6 linked regions of the Rattus norvegicus genome follow. The protein of the gene in region 6 purifies or fractionates together with the protein of the main gene of each other region. This does not show direct contact. Links are inferred from orthologs where the notes say so. Each region holds a gene or a part of one and is shown on either strand. Other genes may lie near its edges.

Region 1 (4,035 bases), on a different chromosome or scaffold from region 6:
GTCAGCCACATCCTTTCCTCCTCCCACGCCCCGCTCCGCAGCTCCTGGAGCTCCCACTCAGGCCGCGCCTGGAACCTCCCGCCCGACTTTTGACATCACGGAGGAGGGGAAGGTTCCACCGGGCCGTCCCTTTGTGACGTCACAATGACAACAGAGCGGCAGCTCCAAAAGGGGAGGACCGAGGAACTAAAGCCACAGGGGGCAAGGGGCGGAGAGAGGACGTGACGGCCCGGATGGGGGGTGCAAAGGCTCAAGGCAAAAGAAGGCCGCGGGGCGGGGAGGGGGCGCGCTGACTTACCTCCTGCTTAACCTGTTGCTCTCGAGACCGCGCCGGAGCCTGCGGGCAGGGCGGCTTAGAGATGCCAGAGCCGCCAAGCTCAGCCTTGTGCTCTGCGGGGGGCGCCAGAGGCATCCTTCCCTTCCTCCCCGCCCCCCCCAACTACCCCCTAGCCTCACTAACCCAGCCTGTCCCGCCCCGAGTCAGCACGCCGCGCCGCCCGCGAGCCCCACCCACCCGCCCGGCCAGAGCACAACCCAGAGTCTGCCCCCTACAGGCCGCCCGCGCGCCCGCTTCCCGAGCCCGGGCCACGGCCCAGAGCGCTGCGGGCCCCGCGCACCCTCTGGGCCGGCTGCGTCCGGAACACCGCCTGGGCCGACTGGGTTCCCACAGCAGCAACTCACGCTCTGCCTCGCACGGCCACCGCCGGCCACCTCGGCTTGGGGCCGGATGTCCAGACTCGACAGGATCTACTGGCCTCCAGCAAAAAACAAAAAAAGCCTACCCATGGTGTTCTCCAACTTATCGGGATCCGGGATGGGGGGGGGGGGTTCTTGTCCCAAGTTCTACCCCATCTCCTTTGTGGCTACGTCAGAAACAGACATGGTCTGGGCAGGAGTCCACGCTCCAAGGCAAAGCTCTGTGTGTCCATGCAGTTTCTACACATCGAGTTTAAACTAGTCCTTTGCGCTTTACCCAGCCCTCTGCAATGCGGATGTATTTTAATTCTTAAATTCCTTATGGAATAGCTTGTAAGTTGAGCTTCATTATTTAATCTTGCCTTTCTTTCATAGTTAAGTTTACGTGTATAGATTAGGATCAGCTCTCCGGAAGAGGTATTCAGGTTTTCCATTAAATACACACACATATATATACATATTTTACAAAAGCACTGCCCCAAAGGTCATCTCCCATTATACACTCCACACTAACCAAAAAGGGAAAACATTAAGACCAAATTATCGACCCTAGTTAAATAAAACTTTCTTATAAGGTCGCATTTTTCTTTATGTACCTTCAAGGACCCTTTTTTTCTGGAAAAAGGAAAATGTGTTCTTTGCTCTAAAGCATATGTAGCTAACCACCGGATCACTCGAGTGCATATTTGGTTAATCCCCCGATTCCCCTCTATACTCCCTCCCCCCAAACTTACCAAAAAAAAGCCACTACACAAAACAAAAACACTCCCTATGCCAAGCAAAACGCTGCTATACTATGCACAAAACAAATGTAACCATTACAACCCATTTCAGAAACCCAGTTTACAGGACGAAATTATTCGTACTAACAGTTGCACTCACTCAAACACATACACTTTTACATGAGCTATGTTTTCCCCCTCAAACTAGAAACCATGATTTCTTTTTAGAATCAAAACCAGCCTCTTTATAAAAGTCAATACCAATAAATGCATTCCCTGTAACATAATTCCCAACTGGGTTATGTTGCAAACTAGATAAGCCAAAAACGGCCACATATATTAAATGTGCAAGATCGCCATAATCGTACTCTGAATTGCAACTTAAAGAGCTTCCAACACACACACCTTACACGATTTTCCAAATAACACTAATAACCGGCTCATTTGTATGCAAAGTGCAATATGGGGCCAAATCCTCCCGAGAATGCAGTTAGATCACTGCAGCCCCCCCCCCCCACACACACACACACAGAACCCCAACCTCCACCAAAACCCCTTGCCTTTCATCTAAAGTACATTAACGTTGTGTCATTCGAGGTCAATTTATATACTTGAGGTATCTGTACACCAGTCTGTTTTCTCAACCAAACTAGGCAGACACGACTTTGCCTGAAAAGCCCTTTCGGAAAAAGAAAGAGCCTTATCGGACGCTACGTTTAGAACCTTTCAGCTGCAGAATTATCTATAAACTTGACATTCACAGCCATCGCTTAAAACTGCAAGCCAAAGGATGTGTTGTTAGGAGCACTTACGTATTTCTTCTGAATGATATTCCTCTTGGGTCTTTCCTTGCTCATTCTGAGATCCAAATGCTGATTGCAAAAGGGGACAATTGCTTCATGAATTTAAAGCCGTCAGAAATTTGCAAAAAAATATCCTGGTGGTTTTTATTGTTGGTGGTGGTGGTTGATCTTGTAATCCGACTTTTCTTCCTCTTCCCCCAAAGCCAGATTCGCCTTGAAATAAATCCGAAATTGAGAAGGATAAAAGAAAAAAAATAAAAAGAGCCAAAGACGAACGAAGCAAACAAGAAAAATTCACTTTAGTAAAACACTCATAATGGAAAATTTCCCCCGAAACATACAACAGACACAAAAAAAAAGAAAAAAAGAAAAAAAAACCGACGCCCTTCACTCCCCCCCTTTTTCTTCCAAAAACTACATCAGCGAAACGTGAAGGTCCTTAGCATCTGATCTGTAGTTACATCTTGAAAAAGAAAAAGGAAAGATAAATTTAAAACGTTGGAAGTCACGTTTGTGCTGCAGCAGCAGTGCGAGCAGAAGAGTCAACTCCAGCGGCGGCGGCGGCGGCGGCAGCACCACAGCGGAGGGCTCGCCGAGTCTCTTTTTTCCAAGCCCCCTAACCAATGAGAGAGAGGCTATCCAGCCCAACTTTAAATGGACTCTGCTTTTATACAAGTTAGGGCTCCTCGGCTAATTCGCCATCTCTCGCCAGCCGAAAACTCCCACAGCTGAGCCCCCGCACGCCTGCCTACCCTTTGCCCACAAACCCTGGCCCAGTGCAGAGAACTCCCGCAGCCCCGTCGACGAGACCCCGGAGAGGCCTCAGCGAATCCTTTGCGGGCCGCCCGTCAGGCGCCTCTCCCATGCCGAGCCCAGTCCTGGAATTGAGAGAGGCTCCCTAGCTCAATGCATGGCACGCTCGGTCGCTCCACCTCAGCCCCTTTCCCCCCGGCAGTCCGCTCACCCAACAGTCGCCGCATGCAAGCCTTCGCCACTGCCCTCACGTCTACCTGCAGCCGGGCAGCAGGGTACCACTGCCCCAGGACGCCCGGCCCGGGGGAGAGCCGCCTATTCCCGGGGCACCTTAGAATAGTCCCCTTGATCTTCTGGAAGTTGTAGTCCCTTGACTACAAAATGGCTATGGCCACGGAAGCTAAGAACTACAATTCCCAGCGTGCCCCACACCTCCTGTCACTCAACTCCCTTCCCTGAGGTCTCCCCCTCCCCCTTCCCCAGCCCTGCCAACAAACGCTTGGACGTGTCCCGCGTGCGACACTGCTAGAGGGTGGCTCGGGATTGGCCCGCGGAGCGTGTGGTCCGGGAGCGAGGAACTCCCCACGCCGGCCCGCCCCCAGTCCCCTCCCCGCGGGCCGCCGGCCCGGCCCCGCGCGCCCCGCCCCCACCCCGGGCGCGAACCGCCTGTGGAATCGAGGAATCGCGCGCGAGAGCGCGCCGCGGGCCCGCGAGGGAAAGCCGCCAGGCTTCCCCGGGGAAGGCCTCGGAGCGTGGCGGCGCGGGGGGCGGTGTCAGCGAGGGCTTGGAGCGGGTCCTAAGCAAAAAAAAAAAAAAAAAAAAACTGGGCCACGCACCAAGAGGAATCCTCGGTGCGAACTCGCTGATCGGCGGCGTCTGCTGCTTCTGCCGTTGCAGGCGGTGTCACCTCAGGACAGCGCCCGTGTGCCGAGCAAACGCCGCGCGGCCGGCCGGGGTGGTCCGAGGTCACGGCTTAACGCCGGCCGGCGGCCGCACGCGAGCCCACGCGCGGAGCGGAAGGGAGGGCAGCCTCTGGGCTAGGCACGCGGCCTCGTGGTCGC
Region 2 (4,054 bases), on a different chromosome or scaffold from region 6:
GGTCCCAGGGAGCACGCATTCCTTGTTCCAAAAACCCCAGTTCTCAAACTTTAGAACCCTTACCTCCCCCAGGAGCAGACTGTCCCAATTCTCAGAGGTGAAGGGGAGGATCTCTCGGTCAAAATCGAAATATTTCTTCTTACAGCAAACGCTGAGATGGTAGAGAACAAGATGGGCCACATCCACCCTGGAGGAGCATGAGATTGTCAACAGCAGCAGCATTATGGAGTCAGGAGTCATAGAGTAAAATGGCGGAGAGCACCATCCTTCTCACCAGCGAAGCTGTAACCTCCGTACTTTCTCAGGGCCGCCCCGGCACACACAGCATTCAAATTCATAGAATCTGTATATGGGTCAGGACAGAGGGACCTCACTCAACCCTCCAGTACGAGCTGCAGAGGGCTAACTAGTCAGTCGGGAGCGCGGGAGAGAGAGCACCCCAGGCTCCTGTGCAGTCTCCCTGGATCTCACCTGTCTCCGTAAAGGAGGGGCTTGCTCAGACACTGGGTGCAGGCCTCATGGAACCACTGGAGGCAGCTCCGGCATTGCAGCATTTTCAGGTTCCACCTCAAGGGGAAGACAGCGCCATGGCCCTCAGCCTTCTTCAAACCACAGGGCCCCCCCTCACCCTCTTCGCTCCCCTCTGTCCTGGGCTCTACCACCACAAAACACCCATGCCGTGGCTGGCCCTGCTCTTCCTTCACTTACTCCCCCGGGCCCCCGCAGTAACAGTAGCTCTGCTGCCTGTTGCTCAGATGTCCGGCGTCCCAGTCCAGCCCTTTCAGACCGTACGGCAGGGAGAGTTTCATGCCCAGCATGGCCCGGGCATAGGGACCCTTCTTCAGGGCACCTCCCCTCTGCAGAGGAACAGAGGGAAGCCTCAGAGGGCAGGGAAGGAGGAGAGGTCACGGGAGGCTCCCACACAAGCAGGCAGAGAGGTGCCTTTACCTTTGTGGCAATCGCAAAGACACACTGGCGGCAGACCCAGGAGCTGCCCTCTCCTTCTCCAGGGGCTGGGGCCCTGGGGACGTGACAGTCCTGGTGATAGGCTGAATGAGGAGAGAAGGCCACAGAGTGGCCTTTAAGTCCTGACCAGGGCATTTAAGACCGGTCCCGCTGGCAGGTCTCATCCTGACACTCAAGTTGAGTCAACGGGCTTCTAGCAGTTGAGGACCTTGCCCAAGGAAGCTTGGTTAAGAAATGTGAGCGAGCTACGGTAGGCCCTCAGCCTTGTCACCTGCATCCACGCTCCCTCTCCCTGTACTGAGATGAGGTGACAGGGTGAGGACTGGCCCAGGCAGGAGACGTGCGTGACTCACGCTATGAGGGAGGGTAACCCTTCTAGTGGTAACCCAGAAGACCCAGGGCAAACTGCACCCCCTAAACATCCCGCCCTCTCACCATGGCGACACTTCTCACAGCTGACCAGCCGGTTCCCAGGGACCACGGTCTCAGAGCGACACACACAACAGAGGAGCTCCTCACCAGGAAGGGCGGCTGTGAGAGAACAAAGTGTCAGGAGGCCCACTTCAACCCAGCGTCCCCATCGGCTCCAGCTGCTGCAGAGGGAAGCTGTGCTTTGAAGGGTCTCACCTGGGCTGATGTCCTTCCATAGAACTAGAAACTGGGAATCATCCTCAAACTGGACCAGACACACCTCCCGCGCACTGTCCACCTGGAGTGGATGACCAAGACCGTAAAGTGGGGGCAGGAATCAGACCGGCCTGGGAAGGCAGGGGATCAGAGGTGGGCCTCACCTTTTTGATGGTGCCCAAGTACAGGAGCCCATCAGTCCATCTTGCCAGCACATCTTGACCTTCCCAAAGCCGAGGTCTGGGGCCTGAGGTGGGAGCAGGGGAGGCTGGGTCCCAAAGAGAGGGAGCACCCAAACGGCTCAGCCGGGGGAGCTGCGCCATTGCATCCTGGGGTGGGCTATTCTGAAACAGGATGGTTAGAGTTTATGAGCGCTGAGAAAGTGTCCCTGTGTGGGTTGTTTTCTGTTACGGATGAAGAAACCCTGACCCTGACCAGGAATCTCCAACCCCAGTCTCGTAATCCTTTAGAACCCCGAGGAGGCAGGTCGTTCTGGTCAGCTTCTCTACTCCACTCCTTTCCATCTCCCCTGCCTAGCTCCGTAGTATCCCAGCTCCTCCGGACCTCCGGTGGAAAAGATGTTTGCAGAATCAAGGTTACCACTTAGTTTCACCTTTCCCAGCTGTGTAGAGGTAGCCTAACTGGGGCAATCTGTTGCCCGGAGATGTTTTGGGAGCTTTTCTAAAGACGTTAAAGGAGTAGAAACAGCTGCCTCCCCAGGCTTGTGTGTCTTATTTAGAGCCACCATCCTGGTGCCAGGTTATGTTAGGTCACCCTCAAATTTGGGGCTCCTTGACCTGGGATTAGATAACTTCCCTGAGTGCCCCAGGAGGGGGGCGTGTCCCTGTCCAAGTCTCTACTCCCCTACACTGCCAGTCCACGGAGGGACTTGAGTCGCCCCAGCACAGATCCCAAACTGGGACCAGGAGGCTCCCCCAGCCCTTCCTGCGCACCGACCCCCGGTTCCCTGCCCCCCCCCCTCCGGGCCTCCCGCCTTCTCCTTACCGGTGACAGCTGGGGCAGCTGGAAGCCAGGTAGGGGCAGACCCAAGAGATCTGGGTGAGTCCCCGGTGCGGGAAGACTGAGTGTGAGCGCCGAGGGGCGTGCAGGTGGAGGCCAGGGGGGTCCCCGGGCCCAGCCCCTCCGTCCTGGCCGCTCTGGGGCGTATGACGCAGCAGCCAAAGCAGCAGCAGCGGCAGGAGGAGTCGACAGAAGGAGGGAGGAGAGTGGAGGGTGGGGAGCACCAGTGGGAGGAGACGACGGAGGGGCGGGTAGGCAGCACCTCCCTCACCTCCAGTAGGCCCGGAGGGCGCTGCGCTATTGGAGGCGCGGCCGGTCGGGGAGGACGAGGAAATCCCTGTAGCCCCCTTTTCGGATAGGAGGCTTGCTCTGAGGGCAGCAGGAAATAACCTTCTTGGCAGCTAGCCTGCAGGTCAGGGCCGGGCCCCGCCCCATGCCACATCCGTTAGTTGCCCCGCCCCCGTGGCCACTCCAAGCTCCGCCTCCGCACGCGGAACCGCCCTCCTCATTCACGCTTTCTGTTGCCCCGCCCTTCTGCGCACGCGTAGCCCCGCCCGCGCGCCGCACCTGGGCACACAGCCACTCCTCCCGCGGCGAGCACTGGCATGGCCGTGCTCCTCTAGGAGGGAAAGGACCAGAGGCTACTTGGAACTAGTACTGGGGCGGTGACGCGCCCACACCAGCCAATGGGCACTAGGCGGCACGGACCGAACCATGGTTCGAACCGGTGGGCAGGGGAAGTGAGAGATTTAGTTGGTCACAGAGGGCCCGGTGTGGGCACTATGGGCACAACTCCCTGAGCTGAAGGACAGAGGAGAGGCACCAGGGCAGGCAGCAAAGTTAGTGTGTCCCTCCAAGTGAAAGCCCATAGCCTCCCTCACTCTGCAAAACAGGTCAAAATGGACATTTCTACATCTTACGGTATTTACTCACAATACTTCATCTGGCAGCTACCAATATTAATAAAACCATTAAGAGCTGTAACAGGGTCTGGAAAGATGGCTCAGTGGTTAAGAGCACTTACTGATCAGACCCCACATCGATGGTCAAAACTGTCCATAATTCCAGTTCCAGAGGCCCCGAAGCCTCTTCTGAACTTCAAGGAGCAGGAGACATGCACATGGTGCACATGTATATACTCAGGCTAAACAACTGTACACACACAATTTTTTAAATCTAAGATTAAGAAAAAAATTAACCTACACCAAATTTTCTTTATTTGATAGTTGGGTACATAATGTTGTCCACCCAATAAAATCATGTCTCAGCCCCGCCCCACCCCCGTGTTATACATATACACAAAACAGACACGCACACCCGCTTGCACAGGAGCCAGGCTCTGCATCCATCTTCATTTCTTATTAGCCTGAGCAGTGCCGATCACGCACTGGTTCACCTGTGGATGGACCAGTGAATAGGGTTACACGAGATCACTGCTTAC
Region 3 (4,020 bases), on a different chromosome or scaffold from region 6:
GTTAGCTGTGAACTCTATATAGCCAAGAATAGCCTTGAACTTTGGATCCTCCAGCCCCTATCTGCTGTCAAGAAATGTTTTTTCGGACTGTTGAGATGGCTCAGCAGTTAAGAGTACTGGCTGTTCTTCCAGAGGATCTGAGTTCAAATCCCAGGGCCTTTGATTCACAGCATTAACAATGGCAACTTGCAACCATTTCTAACTCCAGTTCCAAAGGGACAAGGGATTGGCCTCTGTGGGCACGGCCCTCATGTGGTACACACATATACATGCAGGCAAACCATCCACACACATAAAAGGAAGTCTTACAAAAAGAAAGAAAAAAATGTATTCATTACAGCAGGTTAAATTTTAGAACCACTATAACAGATGAAAAATATCCTTTATGGGGGCTAGAAAGATGTCTCTGCCATTAAAAACACATTGTTCTTGGAGAAGAACTGAGTGTGGTTTCCAGCACCTATACTGGGCAGCTCACAATCACCTCTGATCTAGTCTGAGGGGATCTCATGCCTCTGGCCTCCATGGACACTAGCACATACCCCACCCCTACCCCCTGCACATATGCATTAAAAAATGTTTTTAATGTCTTATACATTTTTCCCCAAATTTCAGGGTGTATTCATTTGACAAAATGTTTCTCTTGTCTTCTCTAATCTCAGTTGTTCTTGTTCTTCTGACACTTGATAGTTTTGAACTCCGCTATCTCAGTAGCTCCACAATGAATCTATTCTGTACTTTCATCATTTCACCATCAAATGTCATCAATTATAGCTCAAAGGTGCTAAATGGTGCTTGCACATGTGCCTGTGTTTGTTCATTCTATCATTCATCATTGCTCAAAATCAAACTGCGTACTCTGCATGAGCACTGAACATGTCTACTGTTTGACAACGAGATTTCTAATATAAGACTACATTTAGCATAGGAAGTCCCCAATATATACTTTTTGAACAAGTAAGGAAAAACATTCTCCACACTACACATTTAAGTATAGCTGTACATCCAATGATAGTTGCTGATGTTAACTCAAGGTAAGTAGTATCAGCAGAGCATGGTAGTACACATTTCCAATCTCCATCTGCATTTACTGTGCAGATGCAGACAGATTCATCTGTTCAAGGTCAGTCTGGAATGCAAAGTGAGGTCCAGGCTAGCCAGGATTACCTAAGGAGACCTTGCTTTCAAAACTTAAAAAACGGGGCTGGGGATTTAGCTCAGTGGTAGAGCGCTTACCTAGGAAGCGCAAGGCCCTGGGTTTGGTCCCCAGCTCCGAAAAAAAGAACCAAAAAAAAAAAAAAAAAAAAAAACTTAAAAAACAAAAACAACAACAAAAAAACCCATTAGCTAGCTCCATGTAAAGCATTGTCCAGCACTCTAAAAAGAATCACTTCTTTACCCACAATCACCCGTAAGTTTACTCCCTCCCCAAAAAGAAAATTAAAACATAGAGGCTGAAAACAGTCTGCAGACAACTGCAGAAAAGTTGTAATATGAAGATTACATGGAATCTATTTGAAGGAGAAAGTTACTTACTGCTAAAGAAAATGGAGTCAAATCAACCACTACCTACATATTTCTAGTTCTACGTTGATCTCAAGAGGGACTTTTCTATGTCAATTACAGGCTTGTCTGGGTTTTCAAATTCTAATTACTGTTACATGGTAATATCTTCAACCAAATTAAATGTTTTATTTAAAGACTAAAACAGCATTCCATACCCCCTTTCCTATTGTTCACAGTCCCTCCTATCACTTAATAAACCCATCTCTGCCAAAGAAAAATTCTAACAACCAGGGACAGCAGACTGTAAACCACAGTTAAGAGTTCTGGCACTATAGAAATGTGTTAAGAAATCGTGGAAATTTTAGTTAAATCCCTTAAAGTCGTAAGTAACTAGGTTGTAATGATGAATACAAATATCAGAGCAAGAAATTTTAATTGAACAGGAGAACAGGAGGAATGCCTGTAAGTAAAAGCTATCTCTTCCCCATATCACTTCTTCCCTTTAAGCTTCCAGGGCTTGTTTTCCGGAGTATTTTCCTCATCCTCCCACTCTATCCAGCCCATCCACTAGATTCCCCTCCCACAATTCTACACAATTCCACACAATTCCAGCACCCTCTGGTTCCAAACTGCTACTTCCCTTACCACCCCTTAAAGTGCCAGGCAGCCCCTCTACTAGGCTCCCCACATTCTGACGGCTCCTCCCCTAGGTTCCCCACCCCCTCATCACCAGGTTCATCCTGCCCCTCCAACCGTCTCCCGCCCCCAGGTTCCTTCCTGCCCTCCAAACACAGCTTCCCTGTCTCAACGTTTTATCTAATTCCACCAACTGACTCCCCGAACGCCCCGCTCGTTCCTCCAGCCCCTATTTTTACCAACATTTCACTGTCTACGCTCGATCCATTCTTTCAACATATGCATCAACGCAAAAACACCCCCACACTGGACTCCCTTGCGGATCCTCCATCTTTCTCCCTTTCTTTTGCTTCCTTTCTTTCGTCTCTCTGCATCCCAACCTCCTCCCAAAGAGTCGGTTCCCAGGCCAAGGTCTCTCACCTCATTCGGTCACTTAAGTGGTGCCAACCGCTTCATACAGGAAAATAGAAGCAATCACGTTCCCGTGGGCGCTTCCCCGCGAGTCCGGGCACTCACTGGGCACCCGCCCCAGCGGGAACCCTGCGCTCACGCACACACACGCACTGAATTCCTTGGGGACGAGGATTGGGGAGGAGAATATGCGTTCTCACACCGGCCTCAAACACAGACCACTTCGCTACAGCCCTTCGCCATTTTGGTTTCCCGCGGACTACCGGTGCATTCTGGGAGCGCGGAGCTACTCCGGGGCCGAATGGCAGCTCTCCAGAGCCGCAGAGGGGCGGGGCCTGCGCGGCGAGCGCGGAGGAACACCGTGCCCTACGTCCCGGACCAGCGCTGAACAAAGAGGGACTCTTTAATGTCGCGGTGGGACTAAGTCCTTCTGCTGCCGGTGCATACACAATAGTGAGCGCTGCCCTTCCAGACGCAGAGGCTCGCTGGACTGTTTTTCGTGTCCAACCTATCGTGCAGGTCTTTTTTAATGCCCTCAGAAATGGGATAATTGCTCAGTACATCTTCCTGGGGTGATTTACTTATGTGTAGAAAGGAAATTATTAACTAAAAAATTACTTTTCTTTTACCTCCACCTCGAGGCCTGCTATTAGAATTCCTGTCAGTGGGGAGGAGACCCTGGATGGCAAATTTTGTTCAATGATTACTCTCCAAATCAAAACTTATCTGGAATCTGTACGAGAGATTTTCACACTTTTCCCCCCCTCTGACAATGAACAGGATTTTTTTTTTCTGTTTACCTGCTTCGTGACCTTTCCTAATTGCAGTAAAATCTGAGCATACTCTCCTGCGAAGCAGTTGATCGAAGTAACTCTCATACTATTGCAGGCTCTTGTATGAGGCCCAGCTGATAAATGGAATGCATGCTTATCTCTTTGACTTACATTTAAATGCAACCCAGCATCTGTAGAAACACCTGTAATACCTTCATATTTTGGAAAATATTTCAGATTGATATTTTTTTTATCACAGATTATGTCACAGAGAGAGTACTGTATTTTCCCTCTGAAGAAGTACTTCTTATGATCTAAATTCTTTCCACTCGTATTTCAAGAGAAAGATCTATCCTCTGAAAACTCTGGCAAATAAACGCATTCATATTACACTGTACAGTTGTTTTCTTTTTCAAAGACAAGATCTACCTATTCTGTAGCTCTGGCTGTCCTCATTGTGTAGACCAGGCTGGCCTCAAACTCACAGAGATCTTCCTACCCCTGCCTCCTCAGTACTGGGATTAAAAGTCCTGAGCCACCAATCCTAGCTATGTATTATTCGATATTTTATTCAGTACATTTTAATCTCTCTGTGTCTCTCTGTCTCTGCCTCTGTGTGCTCTCTCTCTCTCTCTCTCTCTCTCTCTCTCTCTCTCTCTCTCAGGGTCTTATGTAACTAAAGCTGACCCTGAGC
Region 4 (4,300 bases), on a different chromosome or scaffold from region 6:
AGGGAGCAGCAGGGGGGAGCTGGGTCTCAGTCTTCCTCTGTCTCTCTTGGCCTTGTGCTTCAGAAGACAGGCCAGAAGGAGAGCTGTGTTTCCCACCTCAGAGTATGGCCTTTAGGAACAAGGGGACGACTTAATGGGGATGCTTTTAAGGATCGAAGAGCAGGTCAGAGAGTCATCCATGCCCTGCCCAGTCTGGTGCTTGCTTAAGTTCTTTGAAGAACCTGCTGGGCCACATTGTGCCTGAGGACTTGGAGCCTGCAAAGCCAAGCTCTGGTCCCTTCCACTTTCAGCTTTAGGCATGAGGGGTAAAAGGAGATGAGCAGAAAAACACAGGAGCCTGGGCCCAAGGACCAGAGCAGACTTACCCGCTTGATCTTGCCAAGGTAGTATAGCCCGTCAGTCCACCGGCATAGCACAAACTGTCCCTCTGTCACCTTAGACATCAAGTCTTTGAAGTTCTTTTTGGTCTTAGACGGGGCCCCCTTGTTAGGGCTGGTGGCACCAAAGGCTTCCTGAGTCCCTGGTTCCAGAGCTTGCGTCTCCATCAGCTTCTGCTGACACCGGAGGAGAAAGAGCAATATTTATCTTGCTTCCTGCTCCTGAAATCCAGTAAGGCTCTCAAACACGTTTATTGACAGTACAACTCTGGGAGGGAGACATTATTATCTCATTCTACGGATAGGGAAACAGGAGATACAAGAAGAAGTGGCTGGTGACCCAGAGGCGCAGCCATGGCTCACAGGGAGTCAAGGAGGCTCTATACCATACCATGCTGCTAAGAGAGTGTATCTTCCCGCCATACCTGGCGCAAAGGACCCAGGGATCTGAACCCCACCTCATGTCCAGGAGGCTGAAGCTTTGTCCCATATGTGTGCTCAGTTCCAAGGAAGCAAGCACTTAAAATGTTATGTTTCCCCTAAAACATCTTCAGAGAAAAGCCCACCTAGCAATGAAAATTCTTGAGGTGGCATGGGAACCGCATAACATAGCCATGCGCCCCCCCCCCCTTTTGAAATTCCCCTTTCTGTTCTCGATTAACCGATAACTTCATGGGAACCAGTTTGGGGCATTTAAACCTGCCCATGCTTTTATCCACATACACATTGGCTCAAAGCAGCTAAGCCATTGCCATACCAGTCTAACACATCTGGCTCTCTACATCTCATTAAAGTGCTGCCTTTTGCTTCTCTGTTCCTGATAGAGGTATCACCGTGGTGGTGGTCACTTCTCCAACCAGTGCACTGCCACAGCGGGCTTTTTGGACAGTGGCCTGAGAAACTCCGAATCTCCACCCTAGAGTGGTTGGAGCATCCTGCCCTATTTCCCATCATGTCCTGCTTCCAACTCTTGTCTCATTTTTCCTCATCAGCTATTTCATTCACCTTTTCCAAGCCTATTTTCCTGAGCCTGTTGCTTGCTACTGCCTGGTACCTGGAACGGGGAGCCTCAGGGCACCCAGCTTCTCTATCTGAACCTTCCAGAAGGTTTGTGGCTTCCCAAACCTTCGCTGGTGGTCAGTTATTGCTTTCTCCCCTCCGTGGTCGTATTCCTCCACACATACTCTCCTAAGATCAAATACAGTTTCCTTATGTTGTAGTGTAAGGGGATGGTGGGGGGCGCTCCTGTTCAGGGTTCCTCCCTCTGCCTAAGGTGTTGGGCACCTGGTGCCCTGCCAGCCCACAAGAAGACAGCTCCGGGTGTGTTTTCATGTGAGTGCCTCTTCAGAGACTGTAGGATAGTCTATGGCAGTGTGCCAGTCCTATACGTAAAACTAAATACACGTGGGCATGTGAGGGGCCTGGGGCGGTGGGGCATAGTCAGGATCTAGGGTCTTCAAATGATGGGAATCAACCTCCTTCTGCCTTCTCCTTCCTATCTTTTACTCCAGGGCAGAGGAACAAGCACCAGGTAAGGGCTGTAGTCAGAACTTTTTTGCCATCTCCCTGGCACTTGGCTCTTTGGGAGCTGGGAGATCCCCGCATGCTGGGTCTGGAGTGTGGCCGGCCTCGGCAGGTTCACAAACTGACATTTCCTCCCCCACTGAGATTTTGGGGGCAGGCCGGGTCGCTGCGCCCCCGAGGCCGTGCTGGGCCCCCGGGTGGTGGCCCCCCCATCTCGCCTCCATCCTCCTGGAGAGGGCCCCCGCGGGCTGTGATTGGCTGATTCAAACCCATCGGCACAGAAGTGCTTGTTTGCGGGTTCCCGTCGGCGTCCAGTTCAAATCCGCGGCACTGGGCGCGCGGGGCCGGGCGGGGGCAGGAAGCGCGGATGATTCATGCGCCGAGGCCTCTCCAGGGCGGCCGTTGGCTTTTTAAAAGGGTGTTCAGGGGAGAGGATAGCTTGCAAAAAGTGTCCCCTTCAGCTACAGGCACTCCTTTCCTCAGTTGCTCTAACTGCAAACTTTCCCCGCTCCCAGCCTATCGTAGCCTGACTTTGGACGTGAGCAAAATCCCAAATGCCCTGCCTATCCTCCCCTCCATAGCTTCAAATGGAAAAGAAAAGACACGCGGCCACAAACGGAGACCTGTCACCCACATCCTGCCCAGCGCTGGGGATGTGGCTGGGACTCCCGCTGCCCTGAGGGTACCGCTCGGGCTCCATCTCCGTTCCCATCCTACAAGCGCGCAGCTCCTCAGAACTCCAGCCCCCGCCCGGGGATCGTAGGGCTCAATCTAGGTTTCTGGGAGAGGGATCGTGTGCAGGATTGAAGCGTGAAACGCGGACACTCCCGGGGCGCCCGCAGCGCGGGACTTACCGCGAGGCAGCGCGTCAGCCGGTCCCACTTGGAGTCTGGCCACCAAGCACATCGGTGGCGGTGGTGCGCTCGGCCCAGGACTGCCCGGCCGAGTGTCCGCCCCTGGGGCCGGGGTAGGGGTCTCGGCGGGGGCGGGGCGGGGCGGGGGCGCCGCGGGGAGGAGGGGACGCAGGGAGGGAGGGGCCGGTGCGCTCAGGAAGGGGCCCCCCGGGCGCGGGGCGCCATCTTTTTCGCGTTTTCCCGCGAATTATTGACGTCCCCGCTTATGTAATTAGCAGGGGCCGCACCGGCTTTGCCATTGGAGCCCGCGGCCGGCGGGGCCCCGCAGCGCCTCCCGGGGCCGCCCCCGCGCAGCGAGCAGAGCGGGCACACGCGGAAACACAGCTGCACAGACCCACGGCTGGGCAGGCGTACACACACCACACGCGCACAGCTACTACACCCAGACCTTTCAGGACCCGGGTAGGTCTCCCAACACCTTGATCTTACAGCACGGACACTCCACGTCACTCCCCGGAGACCAGGGCAAGCCTAAGAGAATCGGACACAGGACACGCACACATATGTGTGCCATAAGTCACAACACTCAAAATGACTCTGCCTTCAGCATAGACTCCCGCGAAACCGCGTGCACGGCACACACAAGTCAGCAGCATAGAGCTCCGACACAGTGACCACAAGACCCACTCGAGTATGCCAGTCACGCACTGTAGAGATAACAGTGTAAGAGAAATAGTCACGTAGACCGTGGGCACAAACACGACAAATACGTAAAGGGCAGACCTAAGACAGATCTTGTGGATATGGCTCCAGTCAGATAAGATCTCCCTCCCTCCAGGAGAAAAGACAGAGTGTCCTCAACCAGACTCACTCTTGGCGCCAGGGCTGGAGATAACACTGGTAACACCCACTACCCGCATCTCTGCTTTCGGTCTGGACTGCCCACTGCACCTGCTAGCAAGGCCCCCTGCAGGCACACCCTGCTGGAATGCTTGCATTCTTGGTGTGGTTGTGTACTGCTTTTCCTTCCCAGAGCCTTCCCTGTTCATTTTCCAGGGGCCACACTGGTCCTCTGCTTCCTGCGTGGTGGGCAGTCTGACCTGCAGCGCCTGCCTGCCTTCCACCTTCTTCCCCCCGCCCCCCAGCTTGAGATATAGGAATCCTCTTTCACATGTCCACATCCCCCCTTTCCCCTGGGTCTTCCTGCTTCTCTGGTCTTCCTGGGGATTTGACCCACAGCAGAATCTGGTTAATTTGAGCATCTGTCTCCCTTGGCTGAGCCTGGAAAGGAAGTTGGTAGCAGCCCCACCAGACAGGATCTTCCAGCCTAGGAAGGCATAGCTACACATTGCCTTCTGCAGAGATAACACCTCTGTCCAGGAAGCTCTGTCACGAGCCCGAGGCTGCCCAGAGGCACCTTTAGGATTCCAGAGGCAGAGACAACAGAGCAAGCCTGTCTCTGTAGCTCATGGGCTGGCGCCACCTATTCTTGGATGTGAGACTCTGCGTCACTTGTTGTCCAGCTGTTGGGATGGTTAGAGGCGC
Region 5 (3,500 bases), on a different chromosome or scaffold from region 6:
AGGGGAAGGATGGAGAGAAGAGGCTTGGATGCTCATCCATTGTGGACTCTGAAGGTGCTGTGCCCTAACCAGTTTTAAGGCAAATGAGGAGCACAACACCGCTGTCCTACTTCAATTACCTCCCTAGAGTAAGTGGGATCAAATCTAAGTTAGGCACCAGCAAATGAATGCCACTCATCTTTCTAAGTATGACTTTCCTATATTCTTGGTGTGATCGTCTCAATCTTATCCCATCTCAGAGAGTAAGTCTCATTGCCTGTGGCACTGTCCACAGAGGATAGTTTATACTAAAGAGGGGAGAGTAGGGAATCCCAAGAGTCTCAATGTTCCCTCACAGCAAGCAAGACCCGCGATGTTGGAACTCTGTTCTCAGAACATGTCTCAAACAAGAATCCTGATACACTGAATGGCATTTCCAACACCTGAGTCACAGAAGGAACAGGACCTTTCAAAGAGTTCGATTCCTACAAATGGGAGTCTTAGTTAGACAGGGATACAGATTAGTTGGAAGGACTCCTAACTGGCATGAGCACCCCAAGTTTGCTACTTACCCCCCCTCAACTCTAGATCAGCTAACTTTATGATGGCCAATCTGGGGATTTATCAGCCTCGTCTTACTGCTGGGTAACCATTCTCACAAGACATTAAAATGCACTGCCCCTGAGAATACAAGGCTGGGCGCTGGTTTTTAGTCACTGGTTTTAGTCGCTGGTTTTTAGTCTGCTATTTGGACACAGCAGCATGGTGCTTAGCTCATACTCTGGGACGTGGGCAGAGGGAGTGAACTCGCTGTGACAGCTGCTAGGACACATAGTGTTAGGCCCGCCCAGGGGTGCTATGTTGTGTGTCACCTGCGGAAACCTCTCATCAGACAAGCTTAGGAATGCGACTGAGAAGCACTAAACACACACAGTGCTGCTCACTGCTCCTCGGAAAAGTCTGAGGACAGAGTGAGTGAAGCACACGGCCTACAGGACACTCGCTCTCTTTCAGGCCCACAGAAGTCTGAGACACAGCAGGGAGGCAGCGCTGATGGCACACCACATGGGCAGCCCCACAACCCCTGCACCACCCAAGAAAACTACAGATCTACAGGACAGAAATGCTGCTTGTCCCGAGTCCAGAAATCTGCATGCTTTACAAAGCCTGGTGCAGGGATTCTGAACGCTCACAAGGGATGTTCAGTTACTCATGTCTACACAAAAGCAAGACAGATCTCCAACACTGCAGATGGACATGATGTTCTATCTCTACTGAAAAGCTCCAATGTCCCCAAAACCTACAAAGGTCAAGATGATAATTTAGAAGGGAAAGTGTGTTGTCAGGACGGAGGTTACCTGTAGATGTTTGGGTCCAGCAGCAAGGCAGTGTCTTTGGGTAGTTTTGATAAATGAACTACTTTAGTTCTTAACTGATGTCGCTCACTTTCATTCACCCATACATCTGGCAGACTATAAATTTAAAAAAAAGCCAATAATTAATTTATAGTTATCTTTGACATACTGCTCCTGTGCTGACAGAGACACCTACATTAATTAATTTATTGTTATCGTTGATATACTGCTCCTGTGCTGACAGACACCTGTGTTTACTTCTGCCAAGGCCCGTGTGTCAGACACACACTCCACGAGTAGCATTTGGGGTCTATAGGATGCACTAGGAATGTATAAGGCTGGCTTTCAAATAAATTAAAGAAAATCTAACTTTGTTTCTTCACTAACAAAGGAGTACTCCATCAACGCCGAGGAGAGGACTCTCAGGAGCCTGAAGGGGGGAAAGGGTAACAAGGAAGAAAAGGAGAAACTGCATGTGTGTGACCAAATCTGAATTTAAAAGTATTTAATCCTACAAAGCAAAGTACTTTGATATCTGAATTGTTCAATTTCTGTAACAGTAGGGTTATAACATTAAATTTGACATTTTAAAAAAACTTTATTTAATATGCATGAGTGTATGCCTGAATGCACGTCTGTGTGCCACAAATATGCCTGCCTGTTGCCCTGAAGGCCCAATGTAGGTACTTGTGGACAGTACGATGTGCCATCTGGTGGGTGCTGCAAATCAAACATGGCTTCTCAAAAATCAGCTTCAATAAAGACGACCATGAGTTTTCAGAAAGTGGGCTCCATAGAGAGACCTTGTCTAAAAAACAAAAAGGTTCCATGTGGGAGGCGGCTCTCTGACTGAAGACCAATTGCATAAAAACTGTGCTGGCTTCACAGACTGGGGAAGCTACTGTGGCTAGGGAGACGCCGAGGTGCAGAAGCTCCAGCCGCTGCCTCCTGAAGGAACATTCACCAAGCTGCCCTCTGACGTCACAGGGACTGGTGGTCCTCCTCAGAAGCTTCCTTATACAACCTCTAAGCGTTGCCAACTTGACAGCCTCAAAGCACAGTACAAGTAAATTTCTTATTAAGATTTCAGTAGGCTAAATCATTTTTAAACTCATGATTTTAATAAAAATAAAACATGTTTATTTCTTTATGCAGTTTCAAATACTTACATGTCTTCGGGCATCCAATGAAGCAAAAGCTTTATCTTCCCAGATTCCTCCTTTCTCTTAGCTATTACCTAGTAACGTCACAAAAAGTAAAAAGTAAACTATAAACCACCATCTCTCTATACTCTTAAAACACTGACAGCCATGCCTACCAGCAAAGGCACTGCCACCACATCTCACCCTTTCTTCTTCCCACACATCAACTTCTTCCCACAACACTGAAATTGCCAAGGTGTACTCACACACACACACTCACACACACACACACACACACACATACACACTCACACTCACTCACACACACACACACATACACACTCACACACTCACTCACACACACACACACACATTCTCTCTCTCTCTCTCTCTCTCTCTCTCTCTCTCTCTCTCTCTCTCTCTCTCAAGAATTAAAAAAACAAACCATTTAAAAAATGTAAGACCACTAAGTCAACTAATGGCTGCCGGTGGCTCAGCAGTTATAAGCACTTTGTTCAAGGGCTGATTGTGGCCCATGATCTCCATGGGAGAAGGAGAACCGACTCCCAAATGACTTCTCATCTCTAAACAGATGGATATATAGGAGAACAGAGAACAAACAACAACAATGAAACCAGAAACAGGTTTTTAGTGGCACATAACTATAACTTCCTAGGTCAGAGGGTCTAGGAATTCAAGGCTATCCTTGGCTACATGGCCAATTCCAAAGTAACCTGGACTACAGGAGACCTAAAGCTGCTGCAAAGAGAAATATCTACTGAGATCACTGTCTGCCTGGGCTTCCACTGCTGTACTCGGTGGGTCAATTCATCTTAGGTCTTACAGAGTGGCCCACCTATCCTATCTGGCCAGGGTGTCAGCAGTCTGAAAGCCAAGGTGATCCCTAGAGTCCACACTGACTGACACTGGGGCTCCGTCTGTGTCGTTACCATCTCAATACTACTGATACCAAGTCCAAGTTAGAAATGTCTCAATATTATATTACTATTCCCAAAACATACCA
Region 6 (4,202 bases):
AAATTCACTTTCAGATTTTATCTCATGTCAGTGTTTGGTCTACATGTGTGTATGTGTGCCATGAAAGTAGCAGTGCCCTCGGAGTTCAGAAGCTAGTGTCAGTCTGATCCCCTAGAACTGGAGTTATGGGCCATGTGGGTCCTGACAGTCAAATCAGGATCCTCTACAAAAGTAACAGACACTCTTTAACAGCTGAGCCATCTCCCCAGCCCACTGGAAAGCAGACAGTGCTTTTTTTTTTTTTAAAGATTTATTTTATTTATATGATATACTGTTGCTGTCTTCAGACACACCAGAAGAGGGCATTCGATCCCATTGCAGATGGTTGTGAGCCACTATGTGGTTGCTGGGAATTGAACTCAGGACCTCTGGAAGAGCAGTCAGTGCTTTTAACCACTGAGCCATCTCTCCAGCCCCTAAAATAAATAAAATCTTTAAAACATATATAATTATTATGTGTCTGTGTGTGTGTGTGTGTGTGTGAGAGAGAGAGAGTCACTTTTCTCAATTTCACCAATATTTGAATTAAAATCAACCATGAGGCAAGAACACAAGTTAAGAGAGTAGTCACAAGCTGGAGCTGCTCCCAGTTAATAGAACCAGGTCATTTCCCCTGCAGATAAGAGTGACAAAAATCAAAGCAGGTTTGGTTTTCTTGGGGAGACTTTTATTTTTATTTCCAGGAACAGAGGAAAATGCTGCCTTGGAGATATACAATGTTGATGGAGAAGAGCTACAGCAGTCTGCTCCAGGCAAGGCCCTGCCTTAGCTGGTTATGAGCTACATAGGTATAAAGTTTTTTTTGGGGGGGGTCTATCCATTGTCATTCAATAAAAACAAGATTTTTCAGTTAGATATACAAGTATTAGAATAAATGAGTCAGGCTGGAGAGATGGCTCAGCGGTTAAGAGCACTGACTGCTCTTCCAGAGGTCCTGAGTTTAATTCCCAGCAACCACATGGTGGCTCACAACCATCTGTAATGGGATCCAATGCCCTCATCTGGTGTGTCCAAAGACAGCAACAGTGTACACATATATAATAAATCAATCTTTAAAAAAAATGTAGACTAAATGAGTCAGAACATACCACATAAGGCTTTAGAAGGGTGTGCATACCACATCCCATTAGATGTTGCATTTTTACAGGTGGTTCTTCCGTGTTTACATACTTTTGTGGTTGTTTTGGCACTGGATTTAGTTTAGGCCAGGCTGACCTTGAACTCGAGTCTCCCAATTCCATTAACCAAGTTCTGGGATTCAAAGCCTGCACATCACAACCCGATCTCATGATTAAGTTCTTCTCTCCTAACATATATTCACTCCTATGTGGACTGGTCACCTCCCTTTCAGTGCCACAACTAGGGTTCCAAGGCTAAAACCACCTTTCTCAAAAATCAAAAGACTAGCAGAGGTCATACCTTCTCAGGCCGGAAAAAAAACAGCCCAGGTCCTTTCCTTATCTTAAAATCTTTGGGCGGAGGGTGGGCCACACCTTCCAACCTCAACATTCCTGAGGCAGAGGCCTGAGGATCAGGTTAGTGTAAGGTCTGCCTAGTCTACAAGGACAGTTCCAAGACAGCCAGGGCTATGCGGAGACCAAAAACAAAAAAATTTACTGGGTGGGAGATTTCTTATTCTGAGAGATCATGTAGCAAATGTACCCCCAAATCCTCACATTTTCAATGTCATTCCTGTACATATCCAATTATTTGTGTTCCTTGGCTTGTTTTTCCCCAACACTGACCTCTATCTACATCCATTCTCTTCCTTGTGCCCCACCACCTACATCATCTCAGTGGTCACTTTGACCAAAATAAGTTAGTCCCCAAGGGCTGGAAAGCCACTCTGCGGTTAAGAACACTTGTTGCTCCTGCAAAGAACAAGGACGGGTTCAGTTCCCTGCACCCACATGGTGTGGTACATAACCATCCTTAACTCTAGTTCCAGAGGATTTGATGCCCCTGGTACCATCCACACACAGAGTGCACACACATTTAAAGTAAAAATTAAAAAAAAAAAAAAACCCTAAATCTTAAAAATCCTTTTAAATTTTTTCCTCACATTTACTTCCTGACAAGTTACATCCCACATATAGTACCTCCCCTTTTACTTCAGGACACGTTCATTTGTATATCGTTTGTTTCTCCAGAGAATTCTGGGGACCGGAGAGACAGTCACAGTTTGAAGGCAAATCTTTACTCAAACCCGGAACTAAAGTGAGGCGAGTTAGATCAGCGGCAAGCTCCGGGAGCAAAATGTTGGGGAGGTGACGCGCGACCCTTGGAAGCTCGACCCTTACACTTGGGCGCCTTGAGAACCTCGCTCATTTCGCCTTCATATCGGCCTGGCCACCCCTTCCTCAACATCACCTAAAGCCTCTGCAAGCTCGATCCGGGCCTCTGGCCCGCCTGCTTGCGAGTGGCAGGGTCCCTTGCAGACGCCAAGGACCACCCACGCTTGCACGGGACACGAGCCGGGCCCGCCCCCGCCGCGCCCCCTCCGCCACGCGGCCCCCCGCAGCTCGCACGCGCTCTCGCCCCGGGTCCCTCAACATTCAGGACCGCACCCTTCGCGCTACCCCAGGTGAGGCAATGGTATGGACCTCAGCTTCCCCTCATCAGTTTCCTCATCTCTTCGCCTCTCGAGCCCTGAGTTTCCGATGTCACGCCATGCCGAGGCCCGGCCCCACCGCCCAGCCCCGGCTTGTTTACTCACTCACCCTCCATCCTGAGACGCAGACACTCGCCACTAGGACGCCTGCGCGCTACGGCCACGCCCCTGCGCCGCGGCCACGCCCCGCGCCTCCACTCCGTGCGCGTGCGCACTTTGAAGGTGGAGCACCTGGGCTGTCTTCTTCGCAGGTATGTGTTTTCGCTAAGGTGATACTGCGGTAGTCTGACACTTTCCCAGGTGGCGCTGCCAGAGAAAATACATCCCGGAGCCACGGATCTCTAGAAGACTTTATTCAGCAGCGCACCATCGCCAACCGTGTTTAGACAACTTACATGTCAAGTTTTGGAAGACAGCCTAGAATTTCTTCACTCTGATACCTCGTATTTACCGACACCCCAAATACCTCTGGGCTCTTAAGTTATTGTTTTATTCATACTTGATATTCCTATTTCTGTCTATCCTTTACCTAAAAATATAAAACCTTATATCAAAATATCTCCCCACAGAGCAGGAAGAGCTGGATCAGAGGTTAAGAACATAGCTTTTCGGGGCTGAAGAGGTGGCTCAGCGGTTAAGAGCACTGGCTACTCTTCCAGAGGACCTGAGTTCAATTCCCAGCAACCACATGGTGCCTCACATCCATCTGTAATGCGATTTGATGCCCTCTTCTGGTGTGTCTGAAGACAGTGACAGTGTACTCATAAATAAACATATAAGTAAACATATTTAAAAAAAAACAACATAGCTTTTCTAGATGACTCCGGTTCAATTCTCAGTACCCACAGCACTCAGCCTCACAACCATCTGTAATTCAAGTCTCAGGGGATTCGACTCCTTCTGGCCTCCAGTTACCGGGCACACAAGTGCATGGACATACCATTACATATATTTTTTAAAGATTTATTTATGGGGTTGGGGATTTAGCTCAGTGGTAGAGCTCTTGCCTAACAAGCACAAGGCCCTGGGTTCGGTCCCCAGCTCTGGAAAAAAAAAAAAAAGAAAGAAATTTAAAGATTTATTTATTTTATTTATATGTTAGTACACTGTAGTTCTCTTCAGACACTTCAGAAGAGAGCATCCCATTACAGATGGTGGTGAGCCACCATGTGGTTGCTGGAAATTGAACTCAGGACCTCTGGAAGAGCAGTCAGTGCTCTTAACCACTGAGCTATCTCTCCAGCCCCACTACATATATTTTAAAAGCTAGGATTAAAGGCATACACCACCGCCTCCAGCCTTGATAATTTCTTTTTAACCTCTCCACAAAATACTTAATAGTGCAAGAAGGAAATAGTAACTTTAGAGGTAGGAAATATCAATCACCAGAAATTAGCAAGTTCTTTTTTAAAAAATATCTTATTATTTATTTATTTGCGTGTGTGTGTGTGTGTGTGTGTGTGTGTGTGTGTGTGTGTGTACATTAATACTTGCTATGGTGTTCTTTTGTAACAGCTGTCAGAAGTTGTTCCTAGTCTTCCTTCATGTGAGTGCTAGGGCTGGGACTCAGGTCATCAGGCCAGGCTCAGTA

The links.
Region 1: the proteins of Ezh1 (region 6) and Jarid2 purify together in Homo sapiens (affinity purification with mass spectrometry; 4 studies listed by BioGRID and IntAct, with this or other methods). This does not show direct contact. The link is inferred for Rattus norvegicus from reciprocal best matches to the Homo sapiens genes EZH1 and JARID2.
Region 2: the proteins of Ezh1 (region 6) and Phf1 purify together in Homo sapiens (affinity purification with mass spectrometry; 5 studies listed by BioGRID and IntAct, with this or other methods). This does not show direct contact. The link is inferred for Rattus norvegicus from reciprocal best matches to the Homo sapiens genes EZH1 and PHF1.
Region 3: the proteins of Ezh1 (region 6) and Mtf2 purify together in Homo sapiens (affinity purification with mass spectrometry; 3 studies listed by BioGRID and IntAct, with this or other methods). This does not show direct contact. The link is inferred for Rattus norvegicus from reciprocal best matches to the Homo sapiens genes EZH1 and MTF2.
Region 4: the proteins of Ezh1 (region 6) and Phf19 purify together in Homo sapiens (affinity purification with mass spectrometry; 4 studies listed by BioGRID and IntAct, counting the BioPlex papers as one, with this or other methods). This does not show direct contact. The link is inferred for Rattus norvegicus from reciprocal best matches to the Homo sapiens genes EZH1 and PHF19.
Region 5: the proteins of Ezh1 (region 6) and Aebp2 purify together in Homo sapiens (affinity purification with mass spectrometry; 3 studies listed by BioGRID and IntAct, with this or other methods). This does not show direct contact. The link is inferred for Rattus norvegicus from reciprocal best matches to the Homo sapiens genes EZH1 and AEBP2.

What each region holds. Positions count from the first base shown.
Region 1 is NC_086035.1:20,159,171-20,163,205, forward strand, and holds the start of Jarid2 (jumonji and AT-rich interaction domain containing 2), read right to left. Parts: upstream 2,801-4,035; 5' UTR 2,276-2,800; coding exon 2,231-2,275; intron 701-2,230; exon of another isoform or gene 682-700; intron 466-681; exon of another isoform or gene 413-465; coding exon of another isoform or gene 299-412; intron 281-298; exon of another isoform or gene 1-280. Other genes in the region: uncharacterized protein Jarid2l1, read left to right, coding at 3,128-3,249, 3,506-4,035.
Region 2 is NC_086038.1:5,018,721-5,022,774, reverse strand, and holds the start of Phf1 (PHD finger protein 1), read right to left. Parts: upstream 2,801-4,054; 5' UTR 2,599-2,800; intron 1,938-2,598; coding exon of another isoform or gene 1,917-1,937; coding exon 1,758-1,916; intron 1,676-1,757; coding exon 1,594-1,675; intron 1,498-1,593; coding exon 1,402-1,497; intron 1,050-1,401; coding exon 949-1,049; intron 858-948; coding exon 709-857; intron 568-708; coding exon 472-567; intron 344-471; coding exon 275-343; intron 188-274; coding exon 64-187; intron 1-63. Other genes in the region: kinesin-like protein KIFC1, read right to left, coding at 3,965-4,009. UniProt on the Homo sapiens protein: Polycomb group (PcG) that specifically binds histone H3 trimethylated at 'Lys-36' (H3K36me3) and recruits the PRC2 complex. Involved in DNA damage response and is recruited at double-strand breaks (DSBs).
Region 3 is NC_086032.1:1,825,615-1,829,634, forward strand, and holds the start of Mtf2 (metal-response element-binding transcription factor 2), read right to left. Parts: upstream 2,801-4,020; 5' UTR 2,568-2,800; coding exon 2,563-2,567; intron 1-2,562. UniProt on the Homo sapiens protein: Polycomb group (PcG) protein that specifically binds histone H3 trimethylated at 'Lys-36' (H3K36me3) and recruits the PRC2 complex, thus enhancing PRC2 H3K27me3 methylation activity.
Region 4 is NC_086021.1:38,591,055-38,595,354, forward strand, and holds the start of Phf19 (PHD finger protein 19), read right to left. Parts: upstream 2,801-4,300; 5' UTR 2,756-2,800; intron 555-2,755; exon of another isoform or gene 552-554; 5' UTR 546-551; coding exon 366-545; intron 1-365.
Region 5 is NC_086022.1:175,287,044-175,290,543, reverse strand, and holds part of Aebp2 (zinc finger protein AEBP2), read right to left. Parts: intron 2,572-3,500; coding exon 2,504-2,571; intron 1,452-2,503; coding exon 1,338-1,451; intron 1-1,337. UniProt on the Homo sapiens protein: Acts as an accessory subunit for the core Polycomb repressive complex 2 (PRC2), which mediates histone H3K27 (H3K27me3) trimethylation on chromatin leading to transcriptional repression of the affected target gene.
Region 6 is NC_086028.1:86,659,458-86,663,659, forward strand, and holds the start of Ezh1 (histone-lysine N-methyltransferase EZH1), read right to left. Parts: upstream 2,801-4,202; 5' UTR 2,721-2,800; intron 2,656-2,720; exon of another isoform or gene 2,604-2,655; intron 1-2,603.